Linked DNA regions of Tribolium castaneum. The protein of the gene in region 2 purifies or fractionates together with the protein of the main gene of each other region. This does not show direct contact. Links are inferred from orthologs where the notes say so. Each region holds a gene or a part of one and is shown on either strand. Other genes may lie near its edges.

Region 1 (4,174 bases), on a different chromosome or scaffold from region 2:
CATGCAAAATTTCCATTCATTCCGACAACAGGAACATTCAAATTTGGCCATAACGTTACATTTTTTTAAAACATAAAAACGGGTGTAACTTTGATACAATTTTTTTCGTTGTGTTTTTTGTTAAATTAGGAAATGTTAGACTTAGGAAATTGTAGTTTAGTTCGGTTTGAAATAATTTTTCTTGTGTCACAATCTTGTTTATTCAACAATTGGCTAATTACGTACAAAGTGTACACAACACCTACTTTGAATTAAAAATAAGTATAAATATTGCGCGCCTCTAACCTACCATCTAGGCTGTTTTCGCTCTTATTGCAGCACGTTTTGAGGTAACAGCCTGGAAACCTGACTTGATACTTGCTACTGAACATCTGGAACCACATGTTTCGCATTGTAAAAAGAATAATCGAGTGTCCTTCTGGAGAATTGTATCGGGGGAACGACACGTGTGACACGTGACGTACTCTTTAATATACCTGTAGAAAAAAATAACAGAAAAATTTGTGACGAGGGCCGAAGGCACGAGCAACTAACCTTCTTAAAACATTTTCGATTTGTTTCTGTTGGAAGCGACCTTTGATTATCAATTGACTGTTGCCGTCCACTGAACCGCTTGTACCTAATTCAGCCAATAGAAAATCGAGTAAATGTTTCGGTTGACGATGGAGCATTTTACAGATTTCTGTAAAATTGGCAAATGACGATTTTTTAGTACCAATTCGGACGACTTGTGGTGGTCTCATAACGAATTTTTGTTTTTTGCCAGCGGCCATATCGGGATTTTTATCGCGCATTATTTCAAAGGCACGTTTCAAAAGCTCATCGTAGGTGTAATCACGATCGGAGGTCATCCAAACGGCTGAGTTTTCATCCACTAAATAACAAAAATTTCAGTTAAAAAAATAAATCAACACTCATGTGAATGATGGTATTACTTGTTTTTTTACCTAATTAATATTAATTTAATTACCTAATTGATTTATTGAACGAAATTTTTGGTAATAATAAGTGTTTTTTCAAAAACAAACAAACAAATCTTAGAGACTTTAGTGTTCAAAAAAGCAAGAATATCCGAATTTTTGGCCAAATGCATAATTAGTTTATTGGCAATTCCAAGCAAAATCTTAAAAAAAAAACATTTGTTAACAAAAAAACCTCCATAAACGCCCGAAAAAAATACGTTATTTCCAACTTAAACATGTATTTTTTTTAAATATTTGAAAAAATTTTTGTAAAAAGTGAGTTTAACTCAAATAAAAAATAAAACAAAAAAAATGAACTTTTAACCCAGTAGACAAAAATATTCGACTTATACATTTTTCAATAAAAAACCAAACAGGGGAAAAATATTTAAAAAATCTATTGATCATTTTTGTTTTTTTTTCTCTTAGTTAAATCTTTACCTTTTAATTTTCTTTTAATATATATTTTGAGAAAATATAAAAAACACTAAGAGCAACACTAATACCATCATTTAAGCTCTTTTACAAAAATGCACAATAATTATAAGTCATTTCCGACTAAAATGTGTAATATTTTGAGTTATTTGAACTAAATCTTGCTAAAAGTGAGTTTTTTTTATCTAGTCACCTAAACTAGCTAAAATCAACTACTAGTTGACTCATTCGGAAAAAAACATTCTCGAAATAAAAACTCAAAGGCTTAAAAAATGCAAAAATAACCATAATTGAGAGAAAAAAAAACAATAAATTTTTTTGGGTTGTTAAACGCTCAAGAAATACGAAATTTTTGTTAAATCCGCCCTAACAAAAGCCAAAAATAGTACGTTTTTATTAAATTTTCAGAAAAAAAAAAATATATGAATTTTTACCTATAGACAAACAAACTTATTGTATATAATTATCAATAAATATTTACCAAAAAAAAATTAAAAAACTCTCTTAAGAGTTAAATCTTTTTTTTTAATTTTCTTTTAATAAATTGATATTTCGAAAAGATAAAAAAAGTAAGAGCTACACTAATACCATCATTCTTTTTTACGAAATTGCACAATAATTACAACAGTTGTACGTATTTTTAATGAAAAAAACGTTACCTGATTCCGGAATTCGCTCAACTAAAGTGCAGCATGTTAGACAAACAAGAAAATAATCCCCAAAAAACCTCAAAAAAATAATTACCATTTTCCTTGTCTTCATGCTTCTCATCAGCCTCTGCGATCAGATCCCCCAGATTCTTCTTCTTCTTTTTCTTCTTGGTTTTACTGAAGTCCACTTCCAGGTCGAAGTTATCATCAAGAGCCCCCTCATCCTGATTCCCCCCTTCGTTCCCCTCGTCCTTCCCCTCCCCAGCAACGGCGTCCAAATCCTCGGCCGTGAAGGGCTTCTTCTTCTTCTTTTTCTTCTTGGTGAAGTCCAAATCTATATCAACATTTGCATCATCTTGCTCGTCCTCCTTGGCAGTGTCGGGCTCGGGGGCGGCGTCTTGCGCGTCGTTCCCGCCCTCGGCCAACGCCGCCTCGATATCGAACGCGGTCTTCTTCTTCTTTTTTTTCTTTTTGAGCGAAGGATCGAAAATCTGGAAATTTATTTACGATAAAATCGTGCACATAACCTTACTTTTGGCCCTGACAGATTGGGCCTGTTTTACTCACGGCGTCGTCCTCTGCCATGATTTTCACACTTTTGGGGCGCTTTTCACTAAACAGGAAACTTGGCTTCGGTGGGGAAAACGGCTAAAACTGCGAATTTTCCGGAAAAATCACTTAAAATCGCTGAGGAATTATTGCATCAGCCAACTCGAATAACCACACGTGAAAAGTGGCAAGGCGGTGCCAACACGAAAAAAATTAATTCACCAGATTGGAATTCAAAAAGTTAGTTTTTTTTGTGAATTTCTTAACAAGATCTTAGTTTTTATCGTTATTTTACATGATATTTGCGCTTTTTGTTAAAAAACGCTCAAAATCATGTTATTTTCAACGTATTTACAAATTTTGTTTTAGTTTTAATTTAATTTTGTTGAAATTTAAACGATATTTCGCGAAAAAAACATTCGTAAAAACACTAATAAAGGACAACAGTAATATAATTGTTTATTAGATAGAGTGTTTTTTCGTCTATCTTAGCGAAATGTTGCAAAAGACTGTTTTAAAAATTATTAAAATCAAAATAATAAAGGTAAGTTTTTCGCCTTATTTTTGACGAAATTTTGCTCCAAAATGATCTAAATTGAGTGGAACAAGTTAAAATAACATCAATTTAGATGATTTTTTAAAGATTTTTAAAGAAGATTCTATTTTTCGAAATATCGAAAAAAGCATGTAATTTTAGTTTAATCTGTTCTAATTTGTGATTCTCTTCGTTTAATAAAAATCTCACAAAAAAAACCTTTTTTTGGATTAAAAAACATACCTAAAGGCTTTGTTTTTGACCAAAAATCGAACTAAATAATATTATTTTTACCTTTTCTTTGAGAAAGCTTTTAAGGAATTTTTTCAAAAAATTCTTTAGTTCGAAATTCAAAAAATTCAAAACAATGATTAATAATTTTAGAAAAAGATAATCTATGACGTGACTTTTTCGGTCTTTGCCTAGATTTTAGGTTTTTTCTGTTTATTTTTGATTAAATTTTGCTTATTTTCAATCAAATTTTTAAAAAATATCAGTATACAATGTAAAAATACGGTCAAATACTCGAAATAAAGACTAAAATAATGTAATTTTTGATGTAGTTAGTGATTTTTCGGTTTGTTTAAAAAAAATAAAACTTTTGTTCAATAACATTTTCTAATGGTCTGAAAGATATTTTAGACTAAATTTTGAGTTTTTCGGTTTATTTTTGATTTAATTTTGCTTAAAAACTAGCTAAATCGGGTGAAATAAGTTAAGATGTTAAAAAATACCTAGAAATTTTAGTCTATGGACGTATTACCGAATTGAGAAATGTCAAATAATATTACTTTTGGCTAGATTTTAAATTATTTTGGTTTATTTTTGATTACATTTTGCTTATTTTCGATCAAATTTGATAATTTTTTTAACTAGTTTCAAAGAATTTCTTTTTTAAATTTAGTTTTTACCGCAAAAATACCGTCAAATACTCGTTAAAAAAATACTTGTTAAAAAAAACAAAAATTCCAGTTCAAAAACGTGTCTAATGCTTTGAACGATGTATTTACTGAATTTTGACTTTTTCGGCTTCAATTTCGTTT
Region 2 (3,606 bases):
GAAGGAGAAGTAAGTGGTTTAAGTTACATTAACACAGTTAATATTTCGTTTTGATTATTAAACGTTGGGAAAGTACTTGTTTTAATTTTATCTGCAGCATGCGATTTTTTTTTGTTTTTGTGGTGGTTACCAAAGTTCCTCTTGTTGCTTGCGAAAATTGCTTACATTGCTTTAAAATTACCATAATCAGATTATCGCCCGGTATTTCAGTTGACTGTTTAAACCAAAGATATTTTCGTTATCAATTTCTTTCCTGGTTTGACGTATTTGAGTGCGGTTTTGCCAAAAAGCCAAAGATTTTACCCAAGTTCTGAAATACCAGGCGTTAATGTGATAAGCATTACCCACTTTTTTAAAAACTGAGTGCTTGGTTTAGGGTTTTTTTAATTTTATTTGACGTTCTGAGTTCTTAATAAAAATTACTTTCAGTAACTGTGTACTTTTATTTCTCTCAACCCTACTAAAGATTTTTATACTCTCGTTAAATAAAAAATACAATCTTTTAAGAAAAAAAACTTTTATTCAATTAAAAAAAATCGCTGTTTGACAACAAGACTTAAGTAAATGCGTTCGCAAATTTGTAAATTGCATCAGTTCTTGACATGATGCCAATATCAGAGTCCAAATATCTGAAGATTGGAGCGACTTCTTCTGGTACTTCCTAAAGAGATAAATGAAGAAATTTTGATTGGCTTTACATACATAGCGTGAGTTAAAGTAAGGCATAAAAAATCCTCAAACAGGTCGATTTTATTTTGGTAAATGCTACATTTTGACACCATGGTAACATTTCTGACGTCACAGGTTACTGAATTGTGTCACCAGTTCTAATTTTTTTAGATGGTAACCGATATTTTTGGTTACTGTTTTTGGCAGTATACTCTTATCTTTCTGGTATAAAAAAAATTTAAATAATGAATTAAAAAAAAATCGTAGAAAAAAGAAAATAACATAAAAAATATTGTTTAATTACATGTAAAAGGCTTTATTTTATAAAGGATTGTTTTTTGCTTATTTTGAAATATTACAATAAATATATGAAATAAGACAATAACAAGAATTTTATGCGTAACTTTAAACTCACTGTATTTCGTAGTTACCTTATCAAACAGAGAAGAAATTTCTTTCCAAGAAAATGCATATAAATTCGTTTTACTGTTTAATGGCCCAAAATCAATAATACATGGTTGGTCCGGAAACGATATTATCACGTCGAAAGTATCTAAAATGAAACATCGTTTGGGTTACAAGTTATAACATAAGACCTAAAATTACAGTGTCTTTTTGGGAACACGTCCGCAATATTTTCCTTATAAAAATTGCTAAGAGTCTCAATAATCACAGGACCCTCATCTTTGAAATGGGCATAATACGTTGGCCAATCTCTAGGCGTTATACCTAAAAAAATCAATCAAAATTCGTGTTTTTTGTGACTTTTGTACCTCTTAAGACTTTGTTGACGACAATGCATCGGAATTCGCTAGCGGGGTGAATACTTTTCCAGGGCTTTAACGCTATATAAAAGGGAATACTGCTTTGGGTTGAAAAGTCCTCTGAAATAATATTTGAGGCGGAGAGGAACAACGACAAGTCATCTAAATTTGTAACTTTCAACTGGTTCCCAAAACTGAACATTTTAGCATCCTGAAACACCCCTGTGTGGTTGAATAATTAATTGAAACCCTACCATAGGTGCATGCCAGTTGTTTTTAACAAAAACGTTCTTATCTAAAGTGTTAATTGCATTTTTTACCTCAGTCACGAATTCGTGCGGACAGATCTAAAAAAGTAAAAAAGGTATCAGAAAGAGGGCCAGACCGACAACGGAAAATACTTCTTCGATGTTTACATCGGACTCATCTGACTGGAGTTTTTGCAACAAAATCGGCGGGATTTCGATTAGAATTGTTTTGAGCGCGACAGATTGGAACTTTTCGTACCAAAAATGAATCGAGAAAAGTTTCAAATCTTGCGATTCCTGTAACGGAAGCGGTAGAAAACGATTTTATTTTTTATTTGAATACAAACCAACATGGTGTGACTCATAACCTCACTGTTTCGGATGGTCAATTTTTGGCGCTTGATACGTCCAGTGTCCAAAGATGAATTATTTCATTCACTTCATTTTTATCAGTTACACAAAAAAATGATAACAATAACAATAATAACAAGACGTACTCGAAAGATGTCGCGCTTGTGTACGGATTCCTGGACATTACAGTCGACCAGACAGACAATCGCTGCGCGCATGGAGCTAGCACCATATCCCCATCATTCTCGTTTTCTACAGTCAAGTTCACACCAGGAAAACTATCAAAATAATCGTAAATCATTATAAAAACATCAATAAGCTGTTACGCTGACTTGCATATCACATTTGTAGAACATCTCCTGACCATTCTAATGTGTTTCTATTATAAATTAAAACTTAACTGTATTTAATTTCTGCATTTTTTATTCTCATATTCAAGCAATGCAAACTGATTTTTTTTCACCCCCTTTATATCCTGCAATTTTCTTTATTTTTGCAGGAAATTAAGCCCTTCGATAGGCCCTTCGACTGTAAAAATGAATGAATTTGAAAACTTTAAAAGTTTACATCTTGTTAAAAGATGGTTTTATACGCAAAATGAGCCGCTGAATTCAATGGAACAAACCGCATTGCTCTACGACTTTTAGTTTTTGAGTTATGAATTATTTTGGTAAATAAAATTTTTCACTATAGATATTGCCTATCTTAATTTTTAGCAAAAAACTTTAAAAGTTTACATCTTGTTAAAAGATGGTTTTATACGCAAAATGAGCCGCTGAATTCAATGGAACAAACCGCATTGCTCTACGACTTTTAGTTTTTGAGTTATGAATTTTTTTTGGTAAATAAAATTTTTCACTATAGATATTGCCTATCTTAATTTTTAGCAAAAAACTTTAAAAGGTTACATCTTGTTAAAAGATGGTTTTATACGCAAAATGAGCCGCTGAATTCAATGGAACAAACCGCATTGCTCTACGACGTTTAGTTTTTGAGTTATGAATTTTTTTTAGTAAACAAAATTTTTCACTATAGATATTGTATATCTTAATTTTTAGCAAAAAACTTTAAAAGTTCACATCTTGTTAAAAGATGGTTTTATACGCAAAATGAGCCGCTGAATTCAATAGAACAAACCGCATTGCTCTACGACTTTTAGTTTTTGAGTTATGAATTTTTTTTGGCAAATAAAATTTTTCACTATAGATATTGCCTATCTTAATTTTTAGCAAAAAACTTTAAAAGTTTACATCTTGTTAAAAGATGGTTTTATACGCAAAATGAGCCGCTGAATTCAATGGAACAAACCGCATTGCTCTACGACTTTTAGTTTTTGAGTTATGAATTTTTTTTGGTAAATAAAATTTTTCACTATAAATATTGCCTATCTTAATTTTTAGCAAAAAACTTTAAAAGTTTACATCTTGTTAAAAGATGGTTTTATACGCAAAATGAGCCGCTGAATTCAATGGAACAAACCGCATTGCTCTACGACTTTTAGTTTTTGAGTTATGAATTTTTTTTAGTAAATAAAATTTTTCACTATAGATATTGTATATCTTAATTTTTAGCAA

The links. Proteins that work in one complex are often made in the same cells at the same time.
Region 1: the proteins of cell division cycle protein 123 homolog (region 2) and eIF2beta purify together in Homo sapiens (affinity purification with mass spectrometry; 4 studies listed by BioGRID and IntAct, counting the BioPlex papers as one, with this or other methods). This does not show direct contact. The link is inferred for Tribolium castaneum from reciprocal best matches to the Homo sapiens genes CDC123 and EIF2S2.

What each region holds. Positions count from the first base shown.
Region 1 is NC_087394.1:663,802-667,975, reverse strand, and holds eIF2beta (eukaryotic translation initiation factor 2 subunit 2), read right to left. Parts: upstream 2,801-4,174; 5' UTR 2,633-2,800; coding exon 2,615-2,632; intron 2,539-2,614; coding exon 2,142-2,538; intron 2,078-2,141; coding exon 2,057-2,077; intron 875-2,056; coding exon 535-874; intron 477-534; coding exon 293-476; 3' UTR 176-292; downstream 1-175.
Region 2 is NC_087403.1:2,024,987-2,028,592, forward strand, and holds cell division cycle protein 123 homolog, read right to left. Parts: upstream 2,249-3,606; 5' UTR 2,047-2,248; coding exon 2,029-2,046; intron 1,979-2,028; coding exon 1,835-1,978; intron 1,781-1,834; coding exon 1,688-1,780; intron 1,645-1,687; coding exon 1,443-1,644; intron 1,399-1,442; coding exon 1,276-1,398; intron 1,223-1,275; coding exon 1,101-1,222; intron 662-1,100; coding exon 557-661; 3' UTR 501-556; downstream 1-500. UniProt on the Homo sapiens protein: ATP-dependent protein-folding chaperone for the eIF2 complex. Binds to the gamma subunit of the eIF2 complex which allows the subunit to assemble with the alpha and beta subunits.